Lytechinus pictus: one gene and its partner. The protein of the gene in region 2 purifies or fractionates together with the protein of the main gene of each other region. This does not show direct contact. Links are inferred from orthologs where the notes say so. Each region holds a gene or a part of one and is shown on either strand. Other genes may lie near its edges.

Region 1 (7,818 bases), on a different chromosome or scaffold from region 2:
CTGGTATCTATATCCATGTTCAATCTCTGGTCGTGTCCTCCACTCCAAGGTGTGTCTGGTCGGAAGTTATCATCGACAGAAAGTTCTTCCTCTACAGGTGGGTTGCTTCCAGTTCCATACCCAGGTATACTCATCCCGCCAAACTCAGCAGGTGGCATGCCCCCTCTACCCCTCCTCATCATCTCTGCAAAGGGGGAGTTTTCAAGCTTCAGGAACTTCTCACGGCACTTCTGAACATAGAGCATCTTGCCAAAGATGTAGCCACACATAGTGGCAAACACCGCCTTTGGGATGGAACCAAAGCGTTTGCTAGGGTTCAGGACTCCTCTCTGCACAAGCATGTGTGTTGACAGTCCAGACACAGCAGCAATAGGAAAGGAACTGTACCAAAAACTCTCAAATCGACATTCTCGCAAAGCCCGCTTTTCCTCGTCTGTGAACTGGTAGCGACCTTCCTTCATCTGTTGTTGAATGGTTGCATCGACAGGAGATGGATTCTCAGGTGTGTTGTCTGAATATTTTGCCATGGTTTAATCTGAAAGGCAGAATAAAAAGAAACTTTCACCAATTATTAAGATAATAACTCTGAAGTTGAGATCTACATGTACACACTCAGTCAGACTCACGTCACACTAAGTCTACGGTGTGAGGTTGCATCATAGATCGTACCCCTTAAGTAATGATAATTTTCTTTCAATGAAAATTAAAAAGTGTGAAATTCAAAAGATATTTTGTAGGACAGGAAGAGGTTAAAGGAGAATGAAACACTTGAAACCAGCTGAATCCATATCAAAGAGAAAAATCAAAGAAACATATTGTTGAAAGTTGGAGGAAGATTGAATGAATAATAAGAAAGTTACGAGCATTTGAATATTGAGATCACTAATGCCATGTAGATCCTCCCATTGGCAATGCGACCGAGATCTGTGATGTCACACACATACAACTCCCTCATTACTTTAGTACTTATTTCACTTATATTTTCACTTTTATAGAGTCTATCACAAGGTGAGATGTTCTCTTTATGAGAGGACAAGTACAGAGGTTTCACAACATTATATCATTGATGAATCGTTTGTCATATGATTAGAATGAACAAAAAGAGATGTTTTGGGGTATATTTTCAGTGTCCAAAAGGGGAGAGTTGTTCATCTGTGACATCATAGATCTTGGTCGCATTGCCAATAGGAGGATCTCCATTTAGTCCATAGCATTAGTGATCTCGACATTCAAATGCTCATAACTCTCAGTCTTCTATTGCTAGTCCTATTTTACTCAAAATTTTGTTGATCTTATTCTTTGATTTTTCTGCTTTCACAAAAGCTAACTTGCTCCAAGAGTTTCATTCTCCTTTAAGCAAAGAGTTGACATTGCCAAGATTTTCTGCAATATTTTTTTGTTCTGAACTTTCTTTTAAAAAAATGATAAACTGGGGCCCGTTTCTCAACACCGTCATAAGTCTAACTTCTTGACTAAATCGGAGATAGTGAGCTACTTGTCCGCTAACCGTTTCACGAAGCCCTCTTTACCAAGATCGGGTACAACAACCTCACTAAATATTTATGACAGCTCCGAACCTGTCATAACTTCTTTCTTAATGACGTAGTGGCATCACGTGGGTAGACTATGACATGCAAAAGCGCATAGAAATTTTAAAATTATAATCTTACGTAATAAATCATAGAGGTTGAAATTACATCATAAAACAAGTGGGTTAATGCATTCAATGATAATTGTAATACAAAGAAACTATAAAAACTATTGGTAAAACGCCACAAAACCATTCATTTTGAAATAGTAAAATGATTTAATCGATAAATATTCTACCACGTCAGGCCATCCATAACTGAACTCGTATTTGTTGTTTTCAGACCCCTATTAACAGTTGGATAAATTATATCTCTAATTTATGCATATAATTTGTCAAATATCGTATGTTTCGGTATCAATGGTTAAAAATGTTTCGTTGAACTATATTTTGATGACGTTCGGAATCGTAAAAGACCGCATAATTATCATCATTTTACAAAGAAAACCGTTATGGTTTACTTTCGTAAACTATTAAAATTGGATATCCCGGGGGTACCCAATCTCAACGTCCACCAGTGATTTTTTAGTCATGAAATGAATTATTCATAATTTAATTTTCTCTGCAATTGAATGCTCAAGTCTTCATGGTCTAAGTATGTATGATGCATAATTCACCTGTGCTATTATTTTGAAAAGATTTATTTCCCAATTTATCACAACATTTGCAATTTTGTCATAATTTTTCTTTTTGACTATTATGCTATTTTGTGACTAAGGCTACGTCTCGTCTGCACTTTCTACCGATAGTATCGATATCAAGGTATTCTAATTAGGAAACCTTTCGAGAAACAGGTTTAGTAAGATTGGAACTAACTCCGTGGTTGGTGGATAAAGATATGACTAACTTGTCCATGTGTTGAGAAACGGGCCCCTGGGTTCCACTTCCAAAATCTAACTGATCAAACCTTACATACAAGGGTACTGCACAAATTCCAGCTCTGTTTGAACAATATTTTTAGTCCTGTCATCAAACTAAAAAAGACTTTCTTTGAAGTTCAAATCAAACTTTAAAGTAGGTCACGGAAAGTCACGGAAACGTGATAAATCCCCTTTAGCTTTAGAGCTTCAGTCTCGCGCGCGCTGGTAATGCAATGGTCCATGGATCCGGTATGGTACCGCACCGCCTACGCTACGGTAACTCGCGCCGGGATCATCCCTCACATTCTTGAATTTACGATAGTTTTTCCCCATTCTAATGCCAAGATATTTCTTTCTCTGCCCATTGGATAATTACCTATTTATCGTCCTTAGATCATCTGAAAAACACCTAACTAATCCATATCGAAATCGACTTTTCAAGACACAGTCGAGTTTCGATACGGTATCTGTGAAATCCAAAGTACGGTATGTTGTATAATTTTTCTAGAAATTATTCTAGATCTAGATCACTGGCGATAAATACACGTTAGGCCTGTACTATTAGCGGGACTATTAGGGCACTGTACCCTATAGGCCCCTGGTCCTCCAAAAGTTCCACCACTGAGAATAAAAGGGAGAAGGAGCAGAAAAGGAAAACAAATGTGTGAAGTATTATATTGTACCATAATATATTCTGAATATAATGTCAGACTAACTAATGCGGGGTCAAAAATTTTTGCTTGCTTATTGCTTCGCACCGGTTCGCACCATATATGGCGACTTTTCGTAAATTTCCCCGTATGCAATGTTTTCTTTGGCCACTTATTTTTTTCACCTCATAAGTCGACTGATGGCAAACATTCACATGTTTTTAAAATCTCTTTTCTGTTCGTGAAAATAGATACAATATGGAGTAACAGGCGGGGGAGGGCAGGGGGCAGGCTCCCCCCCCCCCCCCCCCCACCCGCGGATCACCGGGAAAACCGAAAAGGGAGAACAAAATAAAGAAAGAAAGAAAAAATAATGGGAAAAAGGAAGAAAAAGAGGGAAGAAAGTTTCAACGGAATGAAAGAAGAATACAGAGAAAGAAAAAAATCATCCCAAAATACTAATAAATGAATGAGAAAAGGGAAATAAATAGCTAAAGATAACAAAATGAAACGGAAATTCATGACGGGAAAGGGAAATTAACGAGGAAAACGGAAATGAAGGTAGAATGTAATGAACTAATAGAGGGAAAACCTGAATTAGAAAAAAAAAGAAACATTAGAGAAGAATATAAGACTAACATACGAGCTGCCGAGGATTAGCGGCAATAAAGAATGGAATAACGTATTTCGGTATAGATAGTTTCTGTTATAGTGTTGCTATTACCTTTGATACAGGTTGGCTTCTGTGAAAACAAAAAATCAAAGAAAGCAAGTTTGAGAAAAATCGGACAAATATTGAGAAAGTTATGAGCATTTAAATATTGTAATCACTAATGCTATTGAGATCCTCCAATTGGCAAAACGACAAATATTTGTGACGTCACATGTGAACAACTTTCCCTTTGATGGACTATAAAATACCCAGAAACTCTATTTTTGCTTTTTCTTAGGGTGATTCAAACTTTTTATCCATAATCTATTATTTGAGAATCTACACATGCCTCCCTCTAGAAAAATGTGTGATCTACTGATAGATGTGATAAAAGAGTTAAAGTGAAATCATAGAGGTATATAAACTAATAGTAATGGGAAAGTTGTTCACATTGCATCACACATCTTTGTCGCATTACCAATGGGAGGATCTATACATTACAATAATGATCTTATTTTCAAATGCTCATAACTTTCTTATTTTTCATTCAATTTTCTCAAACTTTTGTTTATCTGAGTTTGATTTTTCTGTAAAAAGTTTGCACAAGCTATCTTGGGTTTCATTTCCTATATATATATATATAAATGTGAGACATTATACATGTACAACTGCTTTGGCAACTATTTGTATTCAAATATGTTGTGAAAGAAATGAATGAAGAGAACAATGGTAGGCGTAGCTTCATATCAAGGTTCCCCAGAGCTGCCCTTTGGAAAAATTGGTGATGCCGAAAAATGTCTCTGCCGGGAATCGAACCCGGGCCTCCAGCTTTGATAAAAAAAATATATCACTTTTGGGAAAAGCACTTACACATTATGGAAGCAAATAAAGTCAACTTTCAAATGACACCCAAAAATTGGAAAAACTATTCATGCTTGAGCGAGCACTGCCAACTGAAACAAAGGGTATGAAAATTAGTAGGCTGGGCTGGAATTAGCCTTCCAATTTCTGTCAGTTTTTGAGAGGCAAATCCCTTGGAACTTGTAAAGTTTAAGGGTGTTGTGATAAATTAATGACCAACCGTGACCAGTTTTGGTTGTTTAAGCAAATTTCATAAATTATCAAATTTAATTTTAATGCATGAGTGAACACAATTACACTTTTTGGGGCAGCATTTCAACTTTATCATGTGGATCTCAGCAATGTAGTCGGGAGAATAGGGGGTGAGATAGGAGTTAAGTGGGAGAAGTAGGTTGACGGAATAAGGGTCAACAGAACATGTAGCCCCCTCCCCCTCTCTCCCGCCCTCCCCTCCTGTTGAGAGACTGATTGCTATTGTCATGTACACGTGAAGTCCAGATTCTGAATTGGGGCATCAACTTATTCCTATCAATCATTTAATCAACAATTTATCAATAAATAAACTCATTCAATGTGCAGTGTGATCAATCAAACATTCATTTTTTTTTAATAGGCTACAATCCAGGAAGTGAGAGAGAGAGAGAGAGAGAGAGAGAGAGAGAGAAGGAGCCAGGAAAATGGAGGCGGAGGGGGATACATAATTATGACTTTTAATTTGTAAAAGGACACAAAGAAGAGAAATTACCATTTAACGAAGTCTACCATACCTCTTGCTTGTATAACGGGTATACCATCACATTACCCTGACTCTCACGAACACACTGGTGAGGTCAACAAGATGAATATGCTACACTAAAATACAATTCCTGTTCACTCATGCACTAAATTTCAATTTAGTCACTCGTGAAATTTTCCTAAGAAACCATAACTTATCTCACTCATTAATTTAGCATAACGCCCTTAGCTTTGTTCCAAAGAACTAACCTCTCAAAAAACTGTAAGGCTAATTCCTGCCCAGCTAAGCTTATATAGTCTCTCAGGGGGGGGGGGGGGGGAGAAGCGGGGGAGGGGGTAGAGATGGAGGGAGGGGTTGCTAAATGTTCTGTTGACCTTTATCCCATCAACGTACTTTACCTACTTAAGTCCTATCTTATCCCCTATTCTCCCGACTCTCATGAACACATTGCTGCGATCCATGCACATGATAAATAAAAATGCTGCACTAAAAATTGCAATTCATGATCACTCATGCATTAAATTTCAATTTAATAAATCATGAAATTCTCTCAAACAACAAACTGATCACAATTGATCATTAATTCATCACAAAACCCTCAACTTTGCAAGTTCCAAAAAAAAAACCTGAAAGAAATTGGAAGGCTAATTCCGACCCAGCTTAATTTTCATACTCTTTGTTTCAATGGGCAGCGCTCGCTCAAGTATGAATAGTTTTCCTACTTTTTGGTGTCATTTGAAAGTTTACTTTATTGCCTTTCTATATAATTATATAAGTCTTTCCCCCCAAAGTGATATTTTTTTTTTTAATTTGGCAGCCATTTCAAAAGTGTATAGTTTTTTTTGGGACGCACTGTATATGTATGCATAATATGCATATGTATTCATTTTTCATATACCCTTAGCCAATGGCTAGATATGCTCCTTTAAGTAACATAATAAGAATTTCAAAGGCCAAAAATTTTCTCGTTCGCGACGTTTTTGAAATTTCCAACATTTGTCATGTGGTGCCCCTCAAAATGTTTACTGCGTGTAGTGTTGGATAAAACATATGCAAGCGATTTTATCAAAAATAGCGACCATCTTTAAGGTTTAAAATGGCTGAACGTCGAAAGGTGACGGGGGCTCCGCCCCTCAAACCCTTGTTAATAATAAACCCCGGGGGAGGGGGGGGGTACTTGCGTGTATATCGCATACGGAGATGTGCCGCTCCAGTGGGTCGTTTTATGCAAAAAAAATAATCTTAGACATGGGTCTTGCTATTGCAGGAACTCCTTAGCCATGGGTTCTATTTTTCAACTGAATAATTCTTTTCTGATAAAAAATATTTATGAGAATCCCCGGGAAAAGTCCCCGGAAATACGTCACATCAGACTTCATAATGTGTTTTTATTTTTAATGCGATGGTCTCACGGTTAAAAAAAGGCAGAATTAATTTGGAAATTTTGTCTATATTAAAAAAAAATGCTTAGGCATGGGTCTGTATTCTGAGAAAAAGTCCTTAGACATGCAACCTGTTTACGGTCAAATGACCCTTACGGGTAGGGGTTTCAAGCCCCGAGCCTCACACTCCCGTCCAATCATAATCCAAGTACCACCCACTGAACTGGAAATACGAAATATTTCCAGTTCAGTGGTATCCCCCCCCCCCCCGGCCTCAAACCCCATCCACATAGCACTGGTGTAAGTTCTACGGTCCAATAAGAACCCAAAAAAAAGAAAGGAGAAAAAGAATATGAAAGGAAAAGTAAGGTTCTAATGAAAAGGTGATTTTTTTCTCTCGCTCGCTTGGGAATTTTATAGGGTGAAGAAAGAAACTTTCAAACGCGCATTCTTGATTATGAAACAGGTACATGAAAAGAAAAGAATTGAAATCGTAGCAAGTTCTGTTCTTAGACGTGATCAAAAGTATTGATCACTGGCGTATAGATGCATGGGGACTTGGGGCCATGCCTTCTCAGAAAAAAGTTCCACAACCAAGATAGAAGAGAAAGAAAATTATACTCTATAAAAATAATATATTGTAAAAATTTATCACAAAATTAGCTTTTCGAATTGAAAATAGGTAGGCCTATAGGGGCATATTTTTTCTCACTCGCTTTGCTTTCTCGAGACTAGTTTTGAAATTTTGCATACATCACATTGCCCCCTCCCCAATAATTTAGGGGACTCATTACGTTGTAATGCTTAGTTGTAATGTAACGGTCACTAAACAGCATTAAAAACATAACTAGAGAAGGGGGTAGCAATATTATGAAAGTACCTGCAAAGGTGATTGTACCCCCATCCCCACAAAGATGAAAAATACATTTTTTCTCTATGACAGGGCCTATAATTATAGGCCCTACCCCCTTTTTGCACCGCCAATTAAGGGGAGGGGCTTTGGGGAGGGGGTTCGCTCCGGCCGCGCCCGCCTCCGTCTGGGGGACCGCATAAAAACGGTACGATAAAACGTCATCATACGTATGGTAA
Region 2 (7,618 bases):
AAATTTAACTACAGTGATATGTGAGAAGTGAGAATTTTTTTTTTTTTAATTCAAAGGCCCGTATTCTGAACTCAGGTTTAAATTAAGCCCTGGTTTAAAGTTGTGGTTTAACTATGAAGAGCCAATTGGGGCACAAATCCCAAACAGTATACATCCAATTTATTAACTAATTTGACACTCAAATTGTTCATAACTGTCTGGGAATGATAACTGAAGTATTTTTCTTCATTATGAAAGCAACAGGAAACAAAATAGTAAACGTAAGAGATATCTAGTATAAACAGAATTTTTGAATTTTTGGCTCCCCATAATTTTAGCACAGAGTTAGACCGTGGTCTAAGTTAAAGACTTCAGAATACGGGCCAGAGTGTCTGATAAACTCTGCGAGAACTGAATAACTTGTCAATTTCGAAGTGTAATACTTTGAAACTGTCTGGCCCAGTCTTACAAAGAGTTACGATTGATTGGATCATCAGTGTCATATTTTTTTCTATAGGAAATTTGCAAAATGTTCTTTGTAAACAAAGGAGAACACACCAAATTGGCAAGAAATCAATGAATTTATGGATACATTCATATCTAGAAAAAGTTTTGAGCAAACATGCATTTTATATGTTGCCTTTGCTGGCTTTCCATAGTTGCGATTGATCAGATCAATCGCAACTCTCTATAAGACGGGGCCCAGGGGCCCGTCTTACAGATATGAATGTACATCCATAAATTCATTGATTTCTTGATAATTTGGTGTGTTCTCCTTTGTTTACAGAGGACATTTTGCAAATTTCCTGGAGAAAAATTATGACACTGATGGATTTCCATATTTACGATTGATTGGATCAATCGTAACTCTTTGTAAGATGGGGCCTAGGACTGTTTCATGCTGGAATTGTCCCAAGTCTTTCTTACCATAAGGAAAAAATCCTGGCAGCTGGTAGCATTCTCTGAAGAAGGCATTCCTTCCTAAACGAGGGGGAAGAGGTTCATAACCCAGCTGCAAAAAAAAAAATTATTATCAGTAGGATAAATAGGGCTTACCCTATCTATTTGCGATAAAACTTGCAATTTTTAAAATCATCTTAAAATCTTAAATCTCATTCAGATGCATATCCTCTGATATGCGTCTCGTAGCTTGGTGAAGATCAAAAAGAACAAGATGGCGAAGTAAACATCGCGGCAACTTTTCCATCTTTTCATAGTATTTTTCTCAGGCAAGTGTTGGTCCTGAAAAGGACCACCCAATCTGGGTGGTCCTTTTCAGGACCAACACTTGCCCAAGAAAGATACATGGTGTACCGTGAAACCTACTACACTAACGTTATTCTTCTTTGCCATGGAATGTTGTTGTTGTTGTTGTTCGTCGTTTCCACACCCATGGAAACCTTCAAAAGTTACAATATTTTTCTTGTTTTTTTTCAATAAATTCTTGCTTTAAAATGAAATAAATATTGTATAAATGGTGGAAATTAAGTTGTATCCCATTTACACAATTAAAGAGAGAGGAAGTGTTTTGTGCTCTTATAACTCTATTTTTTCAACAATGCAGCAACTAGACAGGAATAACCGTCGTTTCTGGGGATTTATTCAACAATTTCTGACATTTTACTGTAATCCCCATTTACCGACGGTAGGGTGTACGGTACGTGTGGGCTCGCATGTGTTCTCATTCCCTCCCTTTTGTCAATTCACAGTCCAAAGTTTGATGTAATTTTACACATCGAATTTACAATCTAAGGATGTATAAACAACAAACTTTTAATTCATGATATTCCAACATTTGAATACTTTAAACGATATAGATGAAAAAGGCATGAAAAATATACTTTACCGATGTTTAATTGGGTTGAACACGATAAAAATGGTCAAAATGGCAGCCAAACTATAAAATATTTACAAACGAACGTCAACAATCACGAATGTGATATCGATATTGCTTTCGATATTATACGATCTGCTCCATATGTGAACGAAACCGAAGATAAACGATACTAGTTATACTAGTACTAGTTCTAGTTATAATCGCGATATATCGATTCGAGACATTAAGTTAATAACGATAATGACGTCATTCAAGATGGCAACTTGCAAGAAAAACCGTCAGGTCAGGTGAAAATGTCTTAGATGACAGATTTCTCAATCATCCAGAGGATTTTTTTCAATAACTCCGGCCCAAGGTATGCAATTACTTAATTTATTTATATTTCCCTGATAATGGAAACCATGAAACTTTCAATTTTGCTTAAAAAACAGTTATAAATCGCGATCTATAAAACGCTAGTTCACTATACGTTGGCTGTAGAGTGTAGGTACGGGGCCCCATCCCCTTCAGTCTATGTATGGTGAGTGGAGCCAACGTAGTTCAGCGGAACAACCAAAATACAGAGACTGAAGCTTTTGGTCTATGCAGCAACCAACTGTAGATCTCCGGGATCAGCCAAGTGCCCCTGCCTCGCATGCCATTGGCCCTGCCATGCCCCTGGCCTGGATATTCATGTATTTTGCTCCTACTATCCTATTCCTAATCCTATTTTGATAAGATTTATTTTGGGCACACTTACTCTTTAGAATGTAACAACAATACAAATCAACCCTTGTGGAATATTTAAATGACTTCATGATTAGATGCAATGATAAACTTAAAGTTATAAATTAATTTTTTTGCGCAACCGGCGCAACCAAGGCATGAGAACCCCCTTCATACACTAAGGATCTCGCCTAGTGCAGCGGGGAGATGAACACTCGGCCCGCTAAAAATAGCAGCACTGCTCGGGCTCCGCACGGATTACGCGATGTACTCATTAGTCACTGGAAATAAGCCACTTGTCTTACCTGAATCAACGTTTTCACATATCCCATAGGGTGGCTAAATGCTCCAAGACCAATATTGGCCACGATTTGCATCCATGGATCATTTACAGCTGCCATTTTCTATCTCTTTCTGAATTATTAACGACCAAAAACAGCGGACTTTAACTTTTTTTGCGATTCCGAAACAACTCGCCCATAGAATTACCGGGTAAGGACAGATGAATTTCGAAACTCGCCCTATGCAGTTTTCAGGTTGTAAAATTTGCCATGATTCAGTTTTCTCTCCTTATCAGCTCTTTCGGGAACTCTTTCTTCTTTTTAAGTCTTGTTTTTGCACAAAATATTCTTGATCGGGACTTCTGGCTTAGTTTTTTTTTCCTTTAACTGGATGTGATCTGTTACTTTTGAGATTTGGGGTTTTCAAGTTTTTTCAGTCAAGCTGGAATTATGCTATTTCTCTAATCTTTTAAGAACTCCTTTAAAAAAAGACATGAAAATTCACAAAAATCGGCCCGTTGACACCATGATAGGTAAGCCTATCATGATCATTCAATTTCAAATCCCTCTCTCTCTCTCTCTCCCTCGTCTATCAAACTAGCTAACAATAATGATAATAATAGCGAATATCACATACAAAATAAAAATTATGTCTCTATGCGCTTCAAAAATAAAAGAGAGAAAGAGGTGTGTTAGTAAGTTCACTTTGTTGAGTTTAGGTACAATAGGGCAGATCAGTCTCTATTCCTATAATGTTCCCAGTCTCTCTACCAGGAGCCGGGGGGGGGGGGAGTTGGGGCCGCTTGCCTGGCCAAAAATTTTCACGACAAAGAATGGGTATGATATGATATTTTTGTTGTTAATTGTCACATAGTGTCATAGTGAGTAGGCATAAAAAGCATGACCCCACTAGTATTCTTTTTCATTTTACAAACCTTTTTAATTTACGATTTGAATTTCATTGATCAAAAATATACTTTAACTATTTAATGCAGGGAACCCATACTAAAGCTTTGCTTTCCAGTGGGTTCCCTTTTTTTCATTTCTGTATATTATATTTTTGTGTTTTGCTTTAGATTGTAACTTTTGTTGAATTATGGAATGAAAAAGAATAAATGCAATCAATCAAAGAAAAAAGAGCAAAGGGAAGACAAGGAAAGAGAAAAGGGTGAAATACTATTTTCTGATTATTACTATGTCATTGGATATAAGTTTTGTAATAAAATGAATTTGCTCGCTTCGCTTGTTCGCAACTTTAATTTGGCCCGATATGCCATATCTTGCCCCCTCGAAATTTCTGGCTCATTTATACGCCCCTGTCTCTTTCCTATACAGGCCTGCATGGTCCCTGGTCATGGCCTATATGCGATGTGGACCCCTTTTCGACAACTTGTGTACCGAGTTTTAGGGAGGAGTCTACCGAGTTGGACGTGGATCAACCAGTGTCTTGGCCGAATGTGTAGAATGCCAATTATCCATTTTAGGTCATCTCTTTTTCATCATCATATTTCATCATCATTATCCAGAAGAATTTTTTTAATACAAGCACATGAATGGAATACTAAGTAACCACGGAACCATGCTCCATGTTCACGGACCACCCCCCCCCCCACGCTCACACACCCACACCCTCGGTTGTGCACAACCATAAAAAAAAGTGTTATTGTTTTTTTTTATTTTTTTTAATCCTTCTTTTTATTTTCCCCTCCGTTTTGTCAATCCTGATGAGGAGGCATATGTTTTTGATTAATTTTCCTCCCTAACCTACCGTTTCGAGGGGGGCGGAGCCAGCTACTCAGCAAGCAGGAAAAATTCCATCCACAGTTTTCCCCGATCGGTTGCTTGAAGAGCTAAAAGTTGCTTTTAGCTGGGTAGGGGTAATATTAAGTACATTTTCTTAGCTTTATTTTGAAAATCGAAGGAGGACAATCTCCCCATTAAAAAAATTCGAGGGACGCCCCTTCCCCCACGGGGCTGCCGCCCACTGTTGGTGTGGTGGACCCAGGGGGGGGGGGGGGACATCCGGCTCGTGCCCCCCCCCCCCTTTTGAGAGTCATAATCAAAATGTTTAATGTAGATATGTCATTTTTACCCAAGTGTGCCCCCCCCCCGGCTCTTTTGAAAGCGAGGACATTTCTTTTACTTTATCTTTTTTTGTTGGTTCTCAAATTTTTTGCTGACGAAATGACCTTAAATTTTAGGTAAAAACCCCCTTTTTTTTTCTTTTTTACTTGTCAAATTTTCATCGGGACTCGAATTGTGCCCCCCCCCCCTGGAAAATCCTGGATCCGCCCGTGTGCCGCCCATAAGTAAACACCATCCTATCCATAATAACAGCCGAAAGAAACCATATTGTGGGGGGGGGGGGACTCAGCATAATGCAAAAAAAAGTGTTGAAATTAAATGTTCATTTTCAGAGCATCTGTCTGCGTTGTCGACGATTGCTCTTTAAATAAGTGCATTTTTTGTAGTTTACTTAATTTCTATACCTTGTACTTACAATATTTTACGTTTGTCTAAGCTTTGTAATATCCGATCTATTATAAAGTTGTCACATTGTAATGTATTTCATTATGTTCGTGTGTTGTATATTTATTTTGATTATACAATAATTAATGCAGAAACTCCAGAAAAAAAATTGTGCCATTTTTCGGCATTTAGGGTATTTTACTAAATCAAACATTCTGTCTTAAGATTGTACAATATTTACGTCACTTAGAGTGGAGGGGGGGAGTAAGAGAGGGGAAGAGAGGAGCAGCGACATAGGAAAGAAAAAGGTAAATTGTCAATTCGTCTACTGTCAACTCGTCCACTCACCACATGGTCTACCTTCATTTAGTCTAATGCCAGTCCGTCCATCAACATTTCTTCTAACAACCTTTTGGTCCAATAATCATTTTTTTGGTCCAATCATCACTTCGTCTAATCACAAGTTGGTCTATGACCATTTCGTCTCATAACCATTTGGTCCAATCCTCGTTTTATTTTAATTTATTTTGCCCTATTAACACTTAGTCTAATTAGACCAAATGGTATGGACTGAATGGCTATTAGACCAACTGGTTATGAGACAAAATGGTGAGTGGACGAAATGGATCATGTGGATATTGGACGAACTGATGGTAGACCAAATTAATAATAGTAGACGAGTTGGCAAATGAACGAATTGGCACTGGACAAAATGAAAATAAACCGAAATAAAATGGGACATGGACATGATGGAGATAATTATAGGCCTATGCCTAAAGGAACTCGGTATAATGGAAAGGGGGTTATACAGTGCGTCCCAGAAAAAACGAAACCGAGATTAAGCGATGATTTATCATAACTTAATCACAAATACAATAGACAAATGACCTACCAATGTAAAGCTTAGAATCTCCTCTTTCATCTGATATTACTTAGATTTTCCCCCATTCACGCATGAGTGAGCAAAAACAATTTGAAGAAAGGATAACAAAAACTCATTTGGCGGGGGGTATCTGAATTTCAAAAAGAAAATCACATGCCTAAAAAGTTCAATATCTGCTCTTTATTTGATAGCTTGATCACAAAAAATGGTCAAGAAGTAAAAAAGTTATGTTCCCTCGAAACAATGCTTGTATTTCCATAATTTCATTAAATAAACGTGTTTTCACCGGTTTCCCACAGAAGCAATCGGATGGTTAACAAAAGACTTAATGCATGGCTGATCGTCAACAAAACGGACTGTCAAGTGAGTTTGAACGCTAGCCTGTAGAACCTCTTAATTTTATGAAATTATTGAAATTCAAGCCTTATTTCAAATAACCAGAACTTTTTTATTTCTTAACCATTTTCTGTAATTGAGGTATCAAATTAAAGAGCAGATATTGAACTTTATAAAAATTTGGTTTTCTTTTTGAAACCCAGATACAGCCCGCCAAATGACTTTTTGGTATCCCTTCTTCAAATTGTTTTTGCTCAGTCATGCGTGAATGAGAAATAATCTAAGGAATTTCAGATGAAAGAGGAGATTCTAAGCTTTACAATGGTAGGTCATTTGTCTATTGTATTTGTGATTAAGTTATGATAAATCATCGATAAATCTCGGTTTCGTTTTTTGTGGGACGCACTGTATTGATAATTCGGGAAGGGAATCGATGATACAGAACCACCAACATGCCTAAAGTGATTATAATTCATTTCCTCGAATGTAAATCATTCCTTAAAACCTGTTTCCTCGACTTATAACTACAACTTGTAAAACTTGTAACTCGTTCCCTCGACTTACATAACTCGTTCCCGGCTTATATCAATCCCTCGACTTAAATAATTCGTTCAATTGACTTTCATAGCTCATTACCTCAACTTATAAAAAGTCTTTCCTTCGACTTATATATCTCATTCACACGGCTTATAGCCAATGCCCTCAGATTTATATAACTCTTGCCCTCAACTAACATACCTCGTTGCCTCGACTCATATTAACTCGTTCCCTCGTCTTACATGTCTCATAACTCATTTCCTCAACTTATATAATTCCATCGACTTATATAATTTGTTCAATCGACTTACATGGTGCCTCGACTTATAATAACTCGTTCCCTCGACTTATTATAACTAAATAGTATATCACGACTTAATACCTCCACGCGGGGACAAGTTACAATTCGTGGTAACGAGTTAAGAAAAAAAACATGTTACCTTAGTGGCTCCGTATAAAATGGAGAGTGAGAAGGGATTGATATAACTTAAGAACCCCAGGGGGCACTTCCATTGACGATTGGATACCATGCGCGACCATGGGGTCTCGAAATGCACCCTAAACAAGTATTTTCCATATTCTGAAAATGCA

What was found. Proteins that work in one complex are often made in the same cells at the same time.
Region 1: the proteins of mitochondrial carrier homolog 2-like (region 2) and OCIA domain-containing protein 1-like purify together in Homo sapiens (affinity purification with mass spectrometry; 3 studies listed by BioGRID and IntAct, with this or other methods). This does not show direct contact. The link is inferred for Lytechinus pictus from reciprocal best matches to the Homo sapiens genes MTCH2 and OCIAD1.

The regions. Positions count from the first base shown.
Region 1 is NC_087259.1:24,749,883-24,757,700, forward strand, and holds the start of OCIA domain-containing protein 1-like, read right to left. Parts: upstream 3,003-7,818; 5' UTR 2,825-3,002; intron 536-2,824; 5' UTR 528-535; coding exon 1-527. UniProt on the Homo sapiens protein: Maintains stem cell potency. Increases STAT3 phosphorylation and controls ERK phosphorylation. May act as a scaffold, increasing STAT3 recruitment onto endosomes. Involved in integrin-mediated cancer cell adhesion and colony formation in ovarian cancer.
Region 2 is NW_026974141.1:12,878,936-12,886,553, reverse strand, and holds the start of mitochondrial carrier homolog 2-like, read right to left. Parts: upstream 3,009-7,618; 5' UTR 2,923-3,008; coding exon 2,827-2,922; intron 992-2,826; coding exon 907-991; intron 1-906. UniProt on the Homo sapiens protein: Protein insertase that mediates insertion of transmembrane proteins into the mitochondrial outer membrane. Catalyzes insertion of proteins with alpha-helical transmembrane regions, such as signal-anchored, tail-anchored and multi-pass membrane proteins.